Linked DNA regions of Nothobranchius furzeri. The protein of the gene in region 1 interacts with the protein of each later gene in a pairwise test. Links are inferred from orthologs where the notes say so. Each region holds a gene or a part of one and is shown in the gene's direction. Other genes may lie near its edges.

Region 1 (4,262 bases):
CCTTTTTTCAGTGCACTCACAGAGTGTCTTACTTTTGCCTTCCGTTTGCCTGATCTTTTGAAAATCCCTGCACCTTCTGGAATTTTCTGCAGATCTGCCATCAGCTGAGCCAACTGTAAAAATAATAATTCAAAAAAATTCCCTTTTGAAAATCAGCAGTGTAATATAAATAACATGCCAGAGTTACAGCCTTAAAAATCTAAGTATTTTATATGCATTATTATTGTTTTACTTGCTTGATCAGAATGACTTGCCAGCAAAATATATCAAATTAGGTTTCTGGACCCCAGTATCAGGATCAAATAACAAAAAAATCAGTTATCCTCTTTATTGGCTCCTCTAATAGAGGTTTTGAGCTGTTGAGAATGTGGTATCTGTTAAAGTTTTAAGCACTAATTGACCATTATTGGGTTTAAATGCAGTGTTTTTCAAATTACAGATTTCTAATTACTGACTTCCAACTAAAATTTAAATGTTTCTGAGTCACCATTGCTTTGTTAGCCTTGATGTTCTGCTCTCTCTTTAACAGAAAATTATCAAAAACATCTTCGTCTGAATCAGATCCACGCTCCTCAGACAGAGAAGGATGGCCAACTGTTGACTCCTCTTCTTCACGTTTTACAGCTCTGTCCTTTTTAGTTTTACTGGTGTTTCTCAGCCTCTTCACTCCTCTTCTAGTTGTTATTTTCTCACTGTCTTCTGCATCATGACCTGTGGACAGCTGGATGGAAGGCACACAGCGTAATGCAACCCTCAGTCTGAAAGGTGGAAGGCCTGCAGATGTGGTTTTCTGCTGTTCCTTGGGGGACATGTCAAGCTGGACTTCATCGTCATAATCCAAACGCTGTTTGGAAATGTAAAAATTACTTGTTGAGAAAATTTCTAGTAGCTTAACAGAAAAAAAGTTAAAATTCTTGTTGAAATACTGTAAAACAATTAAAAGGGCAGCCGTTCTCTGCCATACATCACACATGTCGACATGACTAATCTAAAATATTTGTTAAAAAATAAAAACGTACCGTATCTACGAATTCAGAGTCAGAAAAGCCATAAAATGTCGCATCATTTTCTGAATCCTCCGTAAACAAGTCAGCTAATTTCCTCATGTCAGAGTTCATTCCAACACCTGTGAATAAACGAGTGAATTATCTTCAGAGGCATTTATGTTCAAACAGTAACTTATAGCGCAAGAAAATGTACTTATTTTACCACTTTATTCATCACTCTACCAACGCAAACTTTTAGCTCAGCCAGGATTTCCCCTCACGTGCGGCGCAGGTTACTTCACTCTTTATGTCAGACAGAAATGTAGGTGAGTGTGCTTTGATGGTTCGGGCTGCACGAAGGGAGGCGGTACGTCGTGTGTGAGGAGTCACATTTAACACCGCCCGCACGGTGTTTGTAGGCTACACAAAAACGGATGTTACCACTTCGCATTGATGAGGAGACCCATCCAATATGGCGGTGACGCTTACGTGGTGACGCTTACGCTCTGCAGCGCCCTACATATTCAGGTCTGTGGCCCCAACATAAAATGCGGAAGTCAAACACGAAACTTCAAGTTCCATACTCAGCAACAGCAGAGGTAAGATCTCTACGTATACTTAGGTATTACTAGTATAGTAAAGATACAAGAACAGTTTGTTTACTTGACAAAACATTATTTACTTTGTCTCATGAGTCAGATCGATGGCATTTTGTTAATTATGTATCTGTTCAGTTGAACATAATCCCTAACCTACCCTAAGGTGTAGGTTATTTGACGTGTTCTCGGTTTTCAGCTTGCGCAGGTACATTTCTTTATATCGCTACAGCAGTCCTACATAAAAAGCGAGGCTGTTTTCTTTCTATTACTTTCACCTTGAAATCTTACTTTGCTGGTGTTCTTATTCTAATCATTATTATTAAACAATTTTTTTTCTTTAAGTAGTTTGAAAAATAAGCACGTATAGTTTTGTGTTTAGTTTTTTTAAAGACATGTTTAAAAACTAATTAAATGAATCAACTATATAATCTGTTTGTTTCTGTAGAACTTTGTGTGAAACCTGATTTCATTTTCTGATCAAATAAACTGAAACTATGTGGCCAAATCAAGGTAAGATATCAGATTTCGCAAGTAACACTCATATTTTTATTTTGCATTTGGATTCTCTTTGCTTCACACCCTTTCTGATCTCAGGCATGAGTTGTGATCTTGTGCTTTTTGTTTCAGGCCCTCCTCCTGTCCAACACAACCCTGCCTTCCCTCCCCCTTACAATTCCATAAACCCGGCTGTTCCTCCACCAGGGACTGTCCTACCGGCACCAAATTCTGTGTACTACCCAGCTGTGGGGCCATATGCAACTCCAGGGGGGGTGGCCTATGTAACTCCTGTACCCAATACTTATCCTATGACTCCAGGTGTATATCCAGTGGCCCCCCCTGGAGGTGTTTATCCTGGTCCTTATCCACATTCACCCAAAGGGGGTCACAACAAAGGTCACCACAAAGGCCAGCACAAAGATCATCATGGTGGGTTGCTTCCCTTGGCTGGAGGTTTAGCTGGAGGAATGGGGCTTGGAATGGCATTGGGTGAACACAAAGCTCATAAGAAGATGAAGAAGCTGAAGAAAGCTCACAAGCATGGACACCACAAACATGGCAAGGTGTGTTCAGATTTTAAGTAAGAATATAAAAAATGAAAATGATCCCTCCTGCTGCTGAAATACTAATACAGAAACAAATGAACCTGCCCAGGTCCTCTTCTTTAGATCAGTCAGTTCAGGAAATACACATTGTCATTAAACAGGGAATGAAAGAATATGTATTTCTAGATCAACGGAACAATGAGATGAAGAGAGTCAAAACTGAAACTATACAACAGCAAGCAGTCAAATAAACAAGTGCTAGTTGCTGGACAGTTATGAAGATATACCAGCTTAAATTAGGCATGACAGATTTGTAGTTTTTTGCACAGAACTATCATAAAAAACAAATACATAAGCAGTACAGCAAATCATGTCATGCATTATTTGTATTCTTTACATTTCCTAATACTGCAAGTAAGGGAACTTATCTAGGTGTTCATACTGTTGCATAAACAACGGTACACAATTTTTCTGAAGGGATTTATGAGTTCAGTGTAGAAGCTATGTGTGTAGTAAAAGTGAAGGGTGTGAAGATTTCCGCAAATGCATAAAAAGATGGATGACTTTATTTTTGACAGCTGTTTGTCTTGACCCTGTGTTTAAATAATCTTGAACAGTTTGCATTCTCTCAGGTTTCTATAATCAGATTACATAGTCACTTAGCAAGGTAATACATTTAGAAAATGGAACTTGACTTAAGTTTGAAATGAATCATTTTGTGCTTTTTGGAAGATTTAGTAGAAATATTAAAAATGGTGTTGGATCTTTGATTTGTCACATGTGAATTATGGTACAATAGTGTTGATTGTATAAATTTCTATTGTTATCCTGCAGTAAAGGTTATCCTCCTCATCTCAAACTATTTTTATTATAATTACTGCATTTATGTATTATAAAATTTGATATTCAATTATTCAGTTTATTAAATTGATTGTACTAAAGTTATCAAAATATTTGTTTACTTTACAGTCATCCAGCAGCAGCAGTGGCAGCAGTGATTCTGACTGAGACCCTTTTGGCTCAACAACACCCTGCAGAATGCAAAATGCTTAAAATACCTTGTCACTTTTAGTTGCAGTATTTTAAGCTTTATTTATGACACTAAAAAGCCTCAGTTTGTAGTTATTCTGTTTTGCAACATTTCTTTTCTCAGTTTATTTCACAGGAGTGATGTATGTGATCCTATTTTATTCTCTAAATGTCTTAACTTTGTGCTTACAACTAAATGTGTCTGCAAAACAGTTATTCTGCTTTGCTCTGAAACTGTTCTATGCAAATACTCTAAAATGTACTGATAAAAGTAGAAAATCTTTTAACCTGTGCAATAAAGTGAATCCAAATAAAGGCAATACTGTGTTTTATCTTTCTCGCATCCATTGTTTTTTAAAGGATTAGAAAAAAATAAGTCAACATCAAATTGTAGTGAGACTCTTTAATACGTATATAAATATAAACATTTATTTCTATTTATGCTACAATTATCACAATTTGAAAATATTTAACACATTGTTGAAAACTAATCTAATCAAGTAAGCTGTAAGAGACTCCTAACATTTTCTTTCTGTTGAGGCATTTTAAATCATTCTAATAGTTTTAATATTTTTTTTTAATAAACTTCTTCAAAAATTATCTTT
Region 2 (3,768 bases), on another chromosome or scaffold:
AAACCCAAGAAAAAGCTAGATAGCATAATGTAGGTGGTACATAAATAAAACATAGAATTTAAAACCAAACAATTAAAATAGGTAAGACACAAAATAGAAAGCCGAAAGCTGAGGACACACCCATTAGGAGGACTTCACTGGCTGAAAGCCAGTTTGAAGAGATGTGACTTCAGTTTTGATTTCAAATGCACAAGTGTCGAAGCCAGGCACACTTCCAGAGGGAGTGCGTTCTACAGCTTAGGAGCGGCAATGGCAAATGCCCGCTCACCGTGGGATGGATATTTCATTTTAGGAGTGCAGAGCAATTGATCTGTAGATTGTAGTGATCGGGAGGGGAGTTGGCAAGTGAGCAGCTCAGACAGGTAGTGGGGTGCGTGATCATTCAGAGCTTCATAAGTGAACAACAAAATTTTAAACTGCACTTGGTAGGTCACAGGAAAGTGTAGATCAGCCAAGGTGGGAATGATATGGCATCGTCTGCTTGTAGTTGTAAGGAATCGTGCAGCAGCATTTTAGACTTTCTTTAAGCAGTTAACAGAGGCACCAACAAGGACTGAATATGCATAGTCAAGTTTTGAGATGATAAACACGTGAATAACCTATTCCAGGTGTGGTCTTCTAAGGATGGGTTTTTAGCGTGTCAAGACATCACAGTTGGAAAAAAGACCTCACAGTAGCATTTATCTGTGGGGTCATTGATATGTCTGCATCTAGTTTGACCCAGAGGTTGGTCGCACAGGATTAGAGATTCATGCAGGTGTGGCAAGGTGGAGAAACGAGGGCTCGAGCAGGATTTCGATCCCCAGACTCGCGGGTGAGAATCACGCACGCTAACAAGCCAACCAAAAGGATATTCCCGTGGCCAAGTTGCCAGGGCGCATGATCAATCGGGATACAGTGACAGGAGGTCACCCTGTAACACGGGAGATCAAGAGTTGAAAATTCATGCAGGTTCCTATTTTTTTTGGTTTAAAGAGAATGGCCTCAGTCTTATCATCATTAAGCCAGAGCAAGTTGAAAGCAATCCAGGCCTTAACATCAGAGAGACAAGAAGTAGATTAATGGAACCAGTTTGATCTAAGGCTAGTTAAGCCTGACAGCCATCAGTATAGAAGTAATAGTGCAAACCAGTTTTCACTAAAATATTGCCGAGAGGGAGAATATAGACAGTGAAGAGGGGTGGACCTAGGATTAAACCCTGAGGTACTCCCCAGGAAAGCAGGATGAAGACAGACATGTTTTAATTGCTCTGGCTATTCCACATTAATATTAATGTGTAGTGATTATATCACAATGCTTCACCCTGCAGGTGGATATGATGGTCTAAATATTTTGAATTCAGTGGAGCGGTACGACCCGCACACAGGACACTGGACCAGTGTGACGCCCATGGCTACGAAACGATCAGGTGAATCTGAAAACCGCTGTGTGTGTGTGTGTGTGTGTGTGTGTGTGTGTGTGTGTGTGTGTGTGTGTGTGTGTGTGTGTGTACGCGCGCGCGCTTGTGTGCATGCTACTCTGACCCTAACCGTTGTGTTCAGGAGCTGGTGTGGCTTTACTCAATGACCACATTTATGTGGTGGGGGGGTTTGATGGAGTTTCTCACCTGGACTCGGTGGAGGTGTACAACATCCGAACAGACTACTGGACCACTGTGGCCAGTATGACCACTCCTCGGTGTTACGTAGGAGCAACCGTCCTCCGAGGACGACTCTACGCCATCGCAGGGTGAGAATGAGCATCCTTCTCTCTGTATCTGATGTTTGACCTCTGACCTGTTAGAGCTGAGACGGAAGGATTAGCACTGCATGGTCATGCTAATTTGAAAATGATCGAACCTGGGCTATAAGTGGTAAGAGTTTATTATTATGCAAATGTTGAAGGAAAAAGTCGATGAACAATGAGATGTTTTAATTCCAACAGAGATTAACGGATGAAGTGATGCTGGCTGTGGCTGGAAAGCACCTAGATGCTGTTGCACTCAACTTCTCTGTTTAATTTCTGTAAAGCAGCCTTGGGACAGTTTTGTGACCAAATTGTGAATACGGGAACAAATGGAACCACAAATTGAGGCATTTTGCTACATGTATATTTGCACTAGTTTTCCAGTTTATCTGTCAGTGATCGATGAGAGTCAGGATCCCTTCAAGTTCCAACTGAATGTTTGCATGTATTTTTTTTTTCAGGCATATTTTAATCATTAATACAGAAATTTTTCATCCTTTTACAAATACAGTGATTGTGTGAGACTCAAGAAGATGCATCATATTTATTTAGACATTTAGCTCATTGCTGTGATACAACAGAGTGGTTATGTGTTGGGTTCTGCCTTCATTCACACAGGTGTGTGTGTGTGTGTGTGTTCTGGTGCGGCTCACTGCTCACTCTCTGTTTTCTCCAGATATGACGGAAACTCTCTCCTCAGCAGTATTGAATGTTATGACCCAGTTATTGACTCCTGGGAGGTCGTCACATCGATGGCGACCCAGCGATGTGACGCAGGCGTCTGCGTTCTGCGAGAAAAATGATGTTCTGCAAGAGCAAGAACCACAAGAAGAAAAGGACAGGCAGCTAGACTTTTGCTAAAATGCCGCTAAATTAAACCACAAAGGAAGACGTTTTTGTGCCAGTATGCAAAGATACTCCTAAAGGGGAAAAAAGGTGACGTGCAGCAGTTTGGGCTTTTTCCTCTGAAGGTTAGTTCACCTTTTGTCAGTGCGCTGCAGAGCCTCAGCCTCGCCGTGGTCAACCACACTTCACTTCCAAGGAGCCCATCACCACTTGCATGACTCTTCAGTGGTGTCTGTTGTTACCTGTGAGATTATTTTTTCAGTTTGTCTTCAAAGTGCAATATATTTTTACTCATCAACAAAAAAGGATGGAGCAGGTTTAGGCTCCCCTTGCTGCTAAATGCCTTATGACTTTGGCCTATCATCCACCAGTGGACGTTCATGATGCCGCCCATGAGAATGATGGTTAAGTGAACTGATGTGCCATTTGCAGGCTCTTTAATGGGTCAGTAGTTCACTCCCCTCTTTTGTAACTCATTGTGATAATGGTACTTTTAGATAGAAATCACTTTAACACAAAAGGTTTATTACTAAAGATATATTTCAAGAAGAATATTGTTTTAGAAATTGACTTACATGTACAATCCGATGATTTTTCCTCTCCTATTTGGCAAAACTGAGGGATGCATGAAGCCCCTCCCCCTCCAAACACACACACACACACACACTAACATCATTGTTTTTTGGGAAATTCAATAAAAAAAAAACTCTGAGAAACCGGTTATCTAATCAGCTTCTTCAGTCTAGTCAGCTCTCAAAGTGCAATCCAGTTCTTACACTTAAACCAGTTAGAGTTTTGGTTTAATAGACAAAACTAGTGAAAACAAAATGATTTTACATTTCAAAAATATCAGTCCAGCACTTTGTTTTCCACTTAAGTTTGGATTATTCTTTTGGTTTTGGAAAGATTACAGAAAGGTCAAATAATTAACTTGGTTAGGTTAGGTTAAAAACGTTACTGTTTTACCAAACCTGAATAAATTCTTACCAGCTGTGGTGGTCAGATTTTTAGTTTGGTACCAAGGTGTAAAATTGTTTTCCCAGCTGAGTTCAGTTCAATAACTTTGGTACAAAGTTCAAAAAGTGTCTTTTTCCCAGTCGGAACACTTGAGATGATTTATGAAATAAAGACATGAGGAGAAAAACACAAACTTCGGTTACATAAATTAGAATTGATAGATTTAAGGTTCTAGAATCA
Region 3 (4,169 bases), on another chromosome or scaffold:
TCTCTAACGGGTTGAGTGCCTGTTAAATAGTGACAGGCACCAAAGTAAAATGGTAAATGGCCTGTATTTGACATAGCACCTTCTAGAGTCCTGGAACCTCCCAAGGAGCTTGTTGTGGCCACCAGCCTGGCCTCTTCAGGTGCAGGAGCCAGGATCACCCAGCCTCGGTGATCAGCCAGGCACCGCCCCTCTTCCTCCTTTCTTCCAGGCTGCTGAGGAGCACAGCTGAGCTAAATCATCTGGTGACCTACACCTGGGATAAAAAGGCCGTGCCTTCAGCAGTCTGGGAGGCAGCAGTGCAGGGGCTAAGCTGTTATTCATGCCTCATTTTGGTTTCAACCCCTTCATTTTGATGAGTCTTAATTTTAATAGTTTTAACTCTGAGTGATCCAAAGGGATCTTTGTTTGATGTCAACTTGGTTGACTTGGTTTTAAGGTTAACGTTGTAGTTTACTGACTTTGGGATTTTAAAACACTCAGTGTTTTTCTAGTGTGTCAGATTTTACTATCAACTTGAAGATTTTGGAAACACTTTCTGTTCAGTAAAACTTTTAATATAAGTTTTAACCAGGTGTTTTTAATGTTGGTAATTGGTCTTTTAGTGTTAACCTTTTTGAGAGTTTTTTTTTTGTTTGGCATTTTTTAAACAATGCTCACCATCTGTTTGCACTTGTTTTTAGAACCTTTTATAACAATTAAACCCATTTTAAACCCACTATCATGTTTCTTGTGTTCCCCTTCCTTCACATTTTAACACCTCCTGTCGGGGACGTAACAGTGCTTTACAACACAGTCATGCTCACCCTGGTCTGGTCGATGAGCTACATTCTAGCCACAGCTGCCCTGGGGTACACTGACAGAGGCGAGGCTGTCGAGCGCTGGCGCTACTGGTCCATCCGACCACCATCAGCAAGCAAGGGGGGTTAAGTATCTTGCCCATGGACACAACAACAGCGACAGACTGAGTGGGGCTTGAACCTGCAACCTTCCGATTATGGGACGAGCACTTAACTCCTGTGCCAGTGTCACCCCATACAAAGAGTAAATACGTAGACACCTCATGGGATGGCGCTGCCTATTGGAGCTGCCGAAGTGGCCGGCTGCCATCTTAGTCTCCATTCGGCACACTACCAGAGGCGAGTCTGCCTCTGTCAGTGTGTCTGTCAGTGTAATTAAACAAAATAAATAAACAAATACAAATCTAAAATCCTATCAGGTAGGCTAGAAAAGTCACTATAGTAATCCCACATGATCTATTTACAATTGTACGCGGGTTGTTGTAACCGTGGGATGCACAAAAACGGGCATAGTTGCGTACTCTGCATTGCCTTCGGAGAATGAAGAGACCCATCCAAAATGGCGACGACACGGGTGGTTACGTATTCTTTTCACTCCTTTACATTTCCGGAAATAGGCCCTGAGCTGACACCAACGAAGAAGAGACTTCAAACATGGCGACTCCCATGCATAGAATAATAGCGAGAAGACAAGCGTGAGTAAAACATTTTTAAACTTAGCGTAGCAATATTATTTTAGTATATTTTGTGTCTACATTTGTTACGTTACCACGTGCGGTCTATAGCTGACCTACAGTTTTACATTCAGCCTGTAAAGAACGAACTTGGAGGGACGGGCATCCCGCGGCTCTACGAAGCGCTACGTTGTGTGAAACTGTACTCTTCTGAAGCTGTTATTTATTTTTATAATACCCCAGTTTAAGTAAAAAATAATTTTGTTTACATCGATGTTAATGTCAATATAGTTATAACCAATAGTCGGATCAAAGTATTGAGAAGAATCGGGACTTGGGCAGAGTTTTGATAATTTGTGATTATTGGTGGGGTTTCAGTTTCTTTGGTGGAACACCTGCGAGTTTCTGAGTTTAAAATGAAGTATTCATTACTAGTGTATTAATTATGAGATGGCTACATAAAGCTTCGTGTAGCTTCTCAACTATTTTCTTTGCCCAGAGGTTCACGTCTTCGATGCATCATTCATTGCTTATAGTGACACCTGCTGGTGGAGTTAAACTACGGCAGCCATCATTTTTTTCATAATTTATACTGGAATCATTTGTTCCATTCATTATTAATTTTAAGTAATCTGACAACAAATACATGTATGTGCAAATGTCTTACTTCTGTAGTTTATGTATTTTTTCCTGTTTGGAAGGTATTTATTTATTTTTATTGCTTACAGGGAGGCAAACAAACAAAATGTGCGTTGTCAGAAGTGCTTGGAGATGGGACACTGGACTTACGAGTGCACTGGGAAACGGAAATATTTGCACCGACCGTCAAGAACAACCGAAATGAAAAAGAAGCTGAAGGAGATAGAAAACAAACCTCTCAGCATCACAGGGTGAGTCATCTCTGACAGTTTGAAGGACAAGTCATTTACACCTGGACTTCATGTAGGGTTGGGCAATAAATCGAAAATGTATCGTTATTGAAATTTCTGACTCTTATCGATAAATGTTCCCATGTCATTAAATTTGATAATAAAAAAATGAAAAGATGTGTGTAGGTTGGCAAAATCCATGTCCCTTTAAGAAGCTGTGCAACCTTGAGTGACTTAAAAATTTGATTCAACGTAATACATGTGACAGCCCCATTTATGGACAACTTTTGTTTCTGCGCATACCAAGGTGAAATCCTCAATATATCGTGATATTGATTTTAGGCTAGATCGCCCAGCCTAACTGTGCATAAATAAACCCACAAAAAATGATAATTATAACTGAGAACTCAGTTTTTACAGTGAAATTAGATTTATAAATAATTCTTAAATTTTGACAGTGTTTCAAATGATCTCAAATAGAAGTTGAATTTGTTTAACTAAAATACATAAAAATACAAACAAATGATTTTATCAATAGTGACTGAACTATATATAATGTTGTGATTTTTCCACATCACAGACCTGGAGGAGAAGCTTCCAGTGAAAAGAAAACAAAAAAGAAGTAAGTAATCTGATAATTTACTAGGGATGTGTATTGGTGAAACTCTGATAATACGATACGTATCAAGATACAGGGGAGACAAATTCGATATATCACAATATATTGTGATACATTCAGCCAGATGATATTAGCATTTTTTTTTGACAGAATTTATTGTAGGGAAACTCAGTCCAGTCCAAACTGAAATGTAACATGTTCAATATAAGGTATCTTATAAAGAAGAAGAAAATATCATTTCTATAGCGCCTCTCAAGATAAAAATCACGAGGCGCTTCACAAAAACAAAAAATGTAAAAATATAAAAAATAATTTAGAAAATGGTTAAAAATATATTTAAAATGAGCAAAAAATAGACAATTGTGATTAAAAAAAATGTTAAGAAAGAGAGAGAGAGTGAATAGGAAAGAGGGAAATCAGTGCATCCTGAGGAAGGTGGAATAGAGAAAGGGATTTATATTTCAATGGTGGAAACAAAACCCATTGCACACTGCTGCTACCTAGTGGTCGGCGTTTGAATTGCACCAAAAGAAAAGAAAATACACAAATGTTTGCATGTAAATTCCATGTGGCTTTTAAAGATCGATACAATATTGCAGGAAAAAATATCACAATATATTGTCATATCGATATTTTCTTACATCCCTATAATTTACTATATTGAAATATTTTAAAGAAGTTTCATAGCTGTGGTGTGGTCATTTCTAGTCATTCATTTTTGGATGTAAAAGATTTTTTTATTCATAAAGATGATATTTTAATTCTTATGTTCATATTTCTCAACTTGTACCACTTTAAACAGAATTGTGACTTAACAGTTCCATCTAGTGGCAGTTGATGAGAAGTGAAACCATTTTCTTGGTTATTGTCTGTTTTTAGACAAGACTCTTAGTGAATTTACATTTGATTCTTGTTTCTTTTGTACTGTGATAGTAGAACAGCTTCACATTTTCCATCAGTTAAATTGTTGTTACAGATTAATTGGAAAGTCAATTAAAAAAGTAATTATAAAAAGATTTAAATGTATCTTAGCCTGTTTAACCCTAACGCCCCCCAATTGGGTGCCTCTACAGTTTCATGTCCCAAACATCTACAACTGTCCACGTTCTCCAAACACAACTAAAACCACAATCAAACAGCCCAGATGGGAAACAAGGCCATTTTAAATGGTAATAAATTAAGATACAACGATCTTTGAACTTTATTTTAG
Region 4 (3,984 bases), on another chromosome or scaffold:
GTTTATTTTTTCCAGTTTTCTATTTTGAATGCAGATGTTACAGGAATGTCAAAATATTATTTAGAAAACATTTGATCTTGCCAAATGTTTTCAGGGACATCAGCTTTTATGGGGAATCTTCTGATTACTTTATCATTTCCTTTTTTACTAAGTTAATTCTAGATTTACTTCTGGCAGTTTGGTGTGTGTGTGTGCGTGTGTGTGTGTGTGTGTGTGTGTGTGTGTGTGTGTGTGTGTGTGTGTGTGTGTGTGTGTGTGTGTGTGTGTGTGTGTGTGTGTGTGTGTGTGTGTGTCACAGCCACAGACCTAATGATGACAGCACGTCTGGGGGCCCAACATCTGTCAGCATTTTCCATCTTCAAGCCTGGCTGCTGTCAATTAACCCCTGGCAAATAAAACCACACCAGACTTTGCTGGTAAATCAATCAGGAAAAGTGCAAACATTGCTAAATAACGAGTTTTTGTTGATTACAGAGATATCATTTATGAAAACAAAGTATTTTTAATTAAAACTTGAAATATGAACTAGCTAAACATTTGGAGGTACATGTTTCGATTTATGAATTTCTGTCACTGGCTGCTGCACAAACTACCTGAATCCTTTTTCGTTTGCTGATTATCCTAATGCTTTTGTTTGTTTGTTTTTCTGCAATGTGTAAACTGTTTTATTTATTGTTGCTCTGCAAGGACATTCCTAGATGTAAATCTCAACGACCCTTTCAGTTTAAAAAACTTTAATTAAATTTAAAAAGTGGTCAAAACTACTGTCCATGTGTTTAAACCTTGTTGATGTTGAAGTACCACCACAGACCCAATGATGACAACATCCAACTGTTTCCTTTAAATATATCCAGTGTTCATTGTAATGCTTATTTTTTCTTCTTGAATGAACGTCGTTTTGATCTTTGCCTTATTGGCTAGCTAGGTCTCCCTTAATAAAGATTTTTTAACCTCCATGGGCTTTCCCTGGTTAAATAAAATAAAATAAAATAAAATAAAATAAAATAAAATAAATAAATAAATAAATAATACTAGTAACTGTAAGGAACCATAAGATTTATTTTATTTATTTATATTTTTTGGAGACGATCTTTTTTTTTTGTAGGTCTTTGTTTTTAGCACATGTCCAGCAGGTGGCGACATTGAGCCACTGATTTTGTTTTCTAAACAGGAAATTAGAAGAAGAGAGGGAGGAAGCAGTAGTTTCAGGTGCAAATGTTTCCGGTCGACGGTATTGTTCTTGTAGACTTGCATTCGCTCTGAAATATATATTTTTTAAAACAAATTTGTAGTTTTATCACCAAAAGCACAATGGCGGCACCAGGTAGGGGTTCTGTTTGAGTGTTTTTAGGCTAATTTTTTGATCATTTAGCGTAGATAAGATAAGTAAAGTGGAGCTCATCTTTACAACAGTTAAACCTCCAACAAACACGGAGACTACTCCTGGCATTTTCGCACAAATCCTGGATATATTATAACTTAGCTAAATATCGTTAAACAATTTCTGTGTTGAAAAAGAAATAATGCAGTCATAAAGCGCTTTCCCGCGTGAATCTTCGTGATATTTAACCTCTTGTATCACCTGACAGCTGCCAACAAAGACAACATCAGAGCTGGCTGTAAGAAATGTGGCTATCGTAAGTAACTTTATCTAATAGATTACTTATTAGTACAAATGTATGCATTCGATTTATTTTTCAAGTTACATTTGAAAAGTGAATTCTTTGAATCTTAAATGCTTTTGGAGACAGATAGAGGTACTTTGTTTAAAATGAGCCAAAAACAAGTTATATGATTTAAAATATGCTATCAGTAATGAAGAACTGTGTAAATAATTAGATTTAATGTTTTCACTGACGTTTTTCCATCTGAACAAATGTTCTTTTCCTTAATTTAGTGTTTCAATTGTGATCTCTTTTTGTGTTCGTTTCTCAGCGGGACATTTGACGTTTGAGTGCCGAAACTTCGTCCGGGTCGACCCGCAGAAAGACATTGTTCTGGATGTGAGCAGCACCAGCAGCGAGGAGAGTGAAGATGACGGACCAGTTTCTCAGCACACAGAGAAACTGGGACGGAGTGGTCAGCATCACAAAGGTCAGATGGCTTAAAATTTGCTTAAATCAATAATATTTTGATTAAAATAAAGCAAAGAAAGTGCAGACTACCATCCATCTATCTATTTTCCTCCGCTTATCCGGGTTCGGGCCATGGGGGCAGCAGCTTAAGCAGAGAGGGCCAGGCTTCCCTTTCCCGAGCCACTTGGTCCAGCTTCTCTGGGGGAATCCCAAGGCGTTCCCTGTCCTACTGAGAAACATAGTGCCTCCAGCTTGTCCTTGGTCTTCCTTTAGGTCTACTCCCAGTTTGACGTGTCTGGAAAACCTCACCAGGGAGGCATCCTAACCAGATCCTCTCAATGTGGAGGCAGACCGTCACCGCTTACTTTACATAAGAAACTAAAAAAAATCAAACAAGAGACTTTCAAATGCTAATCAAACTTTCTGTTCTTCTATGATTCAGGTCCTGTTCTGCTTCTACTGTGACTTGCTTTGATTCAATGTCGACTTTTCCTTTCATTATTTTCAATGTTTTAGATTCCAATGATGATGACGATAGAAAAAAGAAGCGGAAACAGAAGAACAAAGACAGAAAGTCAAGAAAAAGGTCATTTATCTTGTGTTTATATTAAGATACGTGTTTTTAATGCTCCTATATTCTCAATTACTGTGTTGAAAAAAGCATGTAAGTTGTTGGAAAATATTTTTCATTCCACTAGTTAAAGATAGACTAATAATGTATTATTTTAGATGTTTTTATAGTTGATACTTAAAGATTTGAAGTGTTTTCTTGGTTTTACCAAAGCCAGTAACTATTATTTAAAATTTAGATCTTACTCGTCGTCGAGTGATGGGGGCACAAAAAAAAAGAAGAAGCGAAGCAGATCAAGCTCATCGTCGGATGAAGAGGAGAGAAGAAAGAAAAAGAAACTAAGCCGCAAGAAGAAGAGTAAAAAGAACAAAAAAGAGCACGGGAAGCATCACAAAATGAAAGAGAAGAAGAGGAAACACAAATCATCCTCATCATCCTCTTCCACCTCTGGTGAATCATCAGACAGTGACTGAACAGTGTCGTTTCTGGACGACGTGTTTATTCAGAAGTGTAGATGGTCTGCGTTTTGACACTTTATAAATGCAGCAAATCAAATAGTTTCATCTGAGCTTTCCTTTCTGAGTGTTAAAGTAAATTTTGTCTGCTACAGATTAATGGCAACAATATGACGTAAGGGTTAAAATGACTGCTGATTTCCTCTGAGACTGTCAGGAACCCATCTTTATACAAGGATTTAAAATATTAAACACTTCATACTGCAGGTTAATAAGTTCCTATTTCTGTTATTTTTATGTATTTTAGTCAAAAAGGATCAATTTAAAAGGTCAAAGTGCTTTTAAACATGAGGGCAGTACGGTGGTTCAGTTGGTAGTGCTGTTGCTTTGCAGCGGGAAGGTCACAGGTTCAAATCCTGACCTTTCTTTGTGTAGGTTGCATGTGTGAGGTTTCTGCAAAAATGCATAAACAGTCAGTGAAATGCATCATCTTTGCTGTAATTACTGCAGGTTTGTCTTAGTTTTCTGTTGATCACTGACCCTTTACTGGGAATAAAACATGTTTGTTTCAGTTTAATCTGTCACTGTTTTCCCTTTGTAATCTAATCTGACCAAATTTAATAAACCACCAATCCTGATTGACAAAAAAAAAAAAAAAAACGGACTAAATATGGTTCATATGCAGCCACATGGCCACTAGAGGGAAGCATCACACCTCATATTTCTATCTGGTAAACTGCTGTTTAACAACATCAGCACTTAAAAGAGAAGTTTCAGCTTCATGAAAGGTTTGGAGTTATTCACTAGTGCTAAAGATGCTCAAAAGTCCCTAAAAGAAGTGCATTCAGATCCTTTCACAATAAGGCTGTATTAAGTAAGACAT
Region 5 (4,031 bases), on another chromosome or scaffold:
ACTTGAAAATTTACCCAAACTAGCCGATTCAACGGTAAAAACACAATAGCTGGTCACAACCTTGAAACAGCTATTGCTAATAAATTATTAAAAGGATATTATATATTTTTAATCATCAATTATTCATTTGAGTGGGTCGAATACACAAAATACACACATTTGAATAATAAGTAATCAATTTCAAATTTGACAATCAACAGGTAATGATTAATACATAAATTGTCAGAGATTATTTATATAAATAATGTGTGTTGATAAATGATCATGCATGTTGCTTTCCGAGGCCAATAAATCTATTTTATTCTGAAAATACTGACCGGAAACATATTCGATGTGCGTTGACAAACTTGCCACGATACACAAAAAGAGGGTGGAACTAATGCTAGGCTAACAAGCTAACAATTACAATCTGCGACTTTTCATAAATAATTCGCAGAATTAATTTGTGAAGAGTTCGTTATTAAAACACAAAAATGACAACGACGCCACTCCACGTTCACAAGCAAACAGAACAACTCACCATTGTTGCTGCGTAAAATCCCTCCTAACGCTTCTGCTGCTGTTGTGAATGGCAGGAACGCTTTCTGTGTTTTTTTTTTTCGTTTACTTCATATCATCTTGTGACTGGTTAGACCAATCCCAAACAGGCACCCCTTCACTTAAACCCTGCCCAATACATTCAGCTCAGCAGTAAAACGTTATTTTAAATGATACAACCGCACGATTAACACATTGTTTAAATAATCCAGTTTAATTTCACAGCATAAAAATAAATATTTACATTTTATTCTTGCATATATATCAGGAATAAGGAGCTGTAATCATTCATTCTTCATTTACTCAGTCTGGCTGTGATCGATTCTACTGGTTACACACGCGCGCCCGCACACACACACACATACACACACTTTTTTTCCCCATTTTCTAAACGTTGTAGTCAACCTTTTTGCTCATCCACGTGGGCTTGTATGTATTTATATTTGATATATAATGTATATAATGTACATTATATTTATATGTAATGTGTGTATTTATATTTAACCCAACCGAACCCAACTGTGTAAAATGTGCATTGTAAATAAAGTTAGATTGGTTTATGAAAAGTTTTGCCCCCCCTCAAAAAAAACCCCCGCTGTGGACGCTTGTGTGCGCGCGCGCACCGGAACGCACCCACCCCGTAATATACGTCATCAGTTAAGCGCGTGTGCGTCTTTCCTTTTCAGGAGTTGTAGTTGTGAAAGCACATCTAACGTTAGCTTACACTTGTGAGCCTCGGCAGCCACAACAAGCAGGTTGAACCGTTTCCAGTGCTGGATAATTCGTCGCTCTTACCCTCCGTGGTTTAAGGAAAGTCCAGCTTTTGTCCGGTATGTTCAAAAATCCGCTTTAGTGCATTTTACTGTACTCAGATCTGAGCTAAACAAGCGTAAACTACTAACAGTTAGCTGGTGTTAGCTAGATCGGTAGCCAAGTCTGCAACATATTACTAGAAAATTCGTTCCTGTTTCCTCGCTAATATGCTATTCACTGTCATGGCATTTGTGTAACTTTCCACTGTAATATATTTAAGTAATGTCGAGTTGTTTGGAGCCTGTCAAAATGGATTCTGTTAATCTCCACGGTTGTAGGATGGAAACATTTACTCAGAGCTCAGACCTGCCCAGTGATTCTGACACTAGCTTGTTAAAACCGGTTACTATAAACTCACGAGAGTTGTTTTTGTTCCTTCTTTTAGATCATGGCGGATTTCTCGGTAAGTTGAAAATGTTTACACTCACCTATTTACGTCCCTTCATATTGTTTTTATTATTAGCTTGTAGTTGAACAGATCTGTTGTTGTGGGTGGAGACGGCTAATTGTACTTTCTCTCCCTCTCTAGCTGACAGATGCTTTAGTAGACGAACCATCAAACCCGCCTAAGATAGACAATACCAATCGTTCTGTACCAGACAGAAATCCCCCGCCTCATTCAAACCCAGGATGGCCTGCTTCTGCCCCAGGAGCTCCCATCCAGCCCACAGCACCTGCTGACTTTAGTGGCGGATTGTCTGGCCCAGGTGCACCAGGCTCATTCTCATATCCCTCAGGTCCTGGAGCACCAGGGCAATACTCCGGACCTCCTTCAGCACCTGTTGGGTTCCCTGTTGGTCCTGGTATACCTGGGCAGTACCCACCTGCACCAGGAGCTCCAGGCCAGTTTCCCTCAAGTCCTGGGGCACCTGGGCAGTTCCCTGGCCAGTATCCCCCTGAAGGAGTTCCAGGACAATTACCTGGAGGCCCTACTCCTTACCCAGCTGGACCTTTTCCTTCTGGCCCTGGAGCTCCTGCTGGACCATATCCAAATGTGCCTTTTCCTGGTAGTCAGCAACCAGGAGGAAATGGGATGTACGGACCAGGAGGTCCAGGTACATTCCCAGCTCCAGCTGGCCCCAGTTCATTTCCAGCATTCCCTGCTGGTGGGTTTCCCCCAATGCCACCTGGATCATGGGGAGCACCGGCAGGAGGTGGTTTTCCTCCTGCACCTGGCCCTTTTGGGTCCAGTCCTATGAGTCCATATGGGGGGCCAGCCTGTCCAGGAGGCACATTGGTGAGTACTTGTTCTTCTTGGAAACATTTTTCTTGCTTGCTGCACTTCTTATCTGGTGTATTTCTCATTTGGTGTTTGGTGGCAAGTCAAGGTGGTGAGCAGAAACGGTCACGTTCATGATCTGGTTTTGGTGGCGGCTGCATTTGGGTTTTATTCCTTCGTCTTTGAACACTGCTCGGGTGCAATTTTTATGATAAGCAGAAGTAATCTCTTTTCAGAAGGAATCATAGAAAAATCTATTTTTGTCTTTCAGCCCAGATATAATCCACCATTTTATTGAAAAGTCGGACAAGGACATCACTTCCAGCTTCAAAGCGTGGTTTGATTAGTGCCAAAGACTGACTGTATTCCGTATCTGATGGCAGTTGTGTTCAAATGTAAACAATAAACTGGGTGTAATTCTTTCAGTGCAATATTAAATAAGTTATATTTTTACAGAACATCTATTCCCTAATGATGAAAGTTTACTCGGATATTTTCTATCATTACAGGACAGATTCAGATCTGAGGTGTTGGAAATGTAATCGTTAAACTGAACTTTTTACTTTTTCATTACTTTGAGAAGTCACCGGGTGTTGAAACAAATGAAGAAAGTTATGACTCATTCAGGTGCTGTGGTAATAATGTTGGCAGGGTCAAAGTTTTGATTAATGTTTAACTGAATTCCCTTTATTTCCTGACAATAAACTTGTATGTTACCAAGTCAAGAGTGTTGTTAATAAAGGTTAAACGCGTGTGAATCTTCCCTGTCGGATGTCATTTATCGGGTAAAAACTGTTTTTATTTATATATTTATGCACAAAGTGCCTGTCTCATTTGTGTTGTAAATGTTTCTTGCAGATGTTGCCGCATGATCTCCCCCTTCACGCTGGAATCATGCCGCGACTTTTAATCACGATAATCGGAGAGCCTGTTCCTGGTGCAGTCAGGTACACGTTCACAAATAGCATTCAGCTCATGGGACTGATGTCAGATGTGGTGTTAGGGGAGAAAAACAACTATTTGTTTTCTTTTTCAGGTTCAATGTTGACTTCATCAAAGGTTCAGATGTGGTTTTTCACTTTAACCCTCGGTTTCATGAGCAAACCATTGTTAGAAACTCTAACTTAGGAGGTTATTGGGGGCCCGAGGAGCGCGAAGGACCCTTCCCCTTCGTTGAGGGACGCCGTTTTGAGGTAAAATCAAAACAAAAAGCTCAGGAGAAAGAAATATAATTTTATTTTTACATCTGTACTTTATAATAAGAATACAGCAAATGTAACGGAACACAGAGACTTTTGAAATTTTATAAAAGATGTAAAGGCAGCTTTTTGAGAGTGATGCTACGGTGGTCCTCCATGTTAGATGTGATTCCACCACGACATGTTTTATGCAGGCGTGAGATGCAATATTTATTTACACCTAATTCAGCAAGCTTTAGTTAGATTCAGTATCAGAAGTGTCA

What was found.
Region 2: the proteins of prr13 (region 1) and kelch-like protein 12 interact in binary tests that used the Homo sapiens proteins (3 or more experiments, as listed by UniProt). The two-hybrid records come from large-scale screens. The link is inferred for Nothobranchius furzeri from reciprocal best matches to the Homo sapiens genes PRR13 and KLHL12.
Region 3: the proteins of prr13 (region 1) and zcchc10 interact in binary tests that used the Homo sapiens proteins (3 or more experiments, as listed by UniProt). The two-hybrid records come from large-scale screens. The link is inferred for Nothobranchius furzeri from reciprocal best matches to the Homo sapiens genes PRR13 and ZCCHC10.
Region 4: the proteins of prr13 (region 1) and srek1ip1 interact in binary tests that used the Homo sapiens proteins (3 or more experiments, as listed by UniProt). The link is inferred for Nothobranchius furzeri from reciprocal best matches to the Homo sapiens genes PRR13 and SREK1IP1.
Region 5: the proteins of prr13 (region 1) and lgals3a interact in binary tests that used the Homo sapiens proteins (3 or more experiments, as listed by UniProt). The two-hybrid records come from large-scale screens. The link is inferred for Nothobranchius furzeri from reciprocal best matches to the Homo sapiens genes PRR13 and LGALS3.

The regions. Positions count from the first base shown.
Region 1 is NC_091743.1:62,074,334-62,078,595, forward strand, and holds prr13 (proline-rich protein 13), read left to right. Parts: upstream 1-1,451; 5' UTR 1,452-1,585; intron 1,586-2,030; 5' UTR 2,031-2,079; coding exon 2,080-2,095; intron 2,096-2,212; coding exon 2,213-2,646; intron 2,647-3,597; coding exon 3,598-3,636; 3' UTR 3,637-3,989; downstream 3,990-4,262. Other genes in the region: cell division cycle-associated protein 7, read right to left, coding at 21-113, 488-844, 1,020-1,118. UniProt on the Homo sapiens protein: Negatively regulates TSP1 expression at the level of transcription. This down-regulation was shown to reduce taxane-induced apoptosis.
Region 2 is NC_091755.1:52,034,836-52,038,603, reverse strand, and holds the end of kelch-like protein 12, read left to right. Parts: intron 1-1,309; coding exon 1,310-1,408; intron 1,409-1,541; coding exon 1,542-1,728; intron 1,729-2,401; coding exon 2,402-2,528; 3' UTR 2,529-3,257; downstream 3,258-3,768. UniProt on the Homo sapiens protein: Substrate-specific adapter of a BCR (BTB-CUL3-RBX1) E3 ubiquitin ligase complex that acts as a negative regulator of Wnt signaling pathway and ER-Golgi transport.
Region 3 is NC_091750.1:56,826,542-56,830,710, forward strand, and holds the start of zcchc10 (zinc finger CCHC domain-containing protein 10), read left to right. Parts: upstream 1-1,366; 5' UTR 1,367-1,451; coding exon 1,452-1,492; intron 1,493-2,199; coding exon 2,200-2,361; intron 2,362-2,920; coding exon 2,921-2,962; intron 2,963-4,169.
Region 4 is NC_091748.1:63,077,267-63,081,250, reverse strand, and holds srek1ip1 (protein SREK1IP1), read left to right. Parts: upstream 1-1,178; 5' UTR 1,179-1,311; coding exon 1,312-1,324; intron 1,325-1,589; coding exon 1,590-1,637; intron 1,638-1,935; coding exon 1,936-2,094; intron 2,095-2,591; coding exon 2,592-2,661; intron 2,662-2,884; coding exon 2,885-3,119; 3' UTR 3,120-3,678; downstream 3,679-3,984. UniProt on the Homo sapiens protein: Possible splicing regulator involved in the control of cellular survival.
Region 5 is NC_091758.1:19,583,458-19,587,488, reverse strand, and holds the start of lgals3a (galectin-3), read left to right. Parts: upstream 1-1,219; 5' UTR 1,220-1,367; intron 1,368-1,735; 5' UTR 1,736-1,738; coding exon 1,739-1,753; intron 1,754-1,879; coding exon 1,880-2,587; intron 2,588-3,427; coding exon 3,428-3,516; intron 3,517-3,605; coding exon 3,606-3,762; intron 3,763-4,031. Other genes in the region: gmfb (glia maturation factor beta), read right to left, coding at 521-523. UniProt on the Homo sapiens protein: Galactose-specific lectin which binds IgE. May mediate with the alpha-3, beta-1 integrin the stimulation by CSPG4 of endothelial cells migration.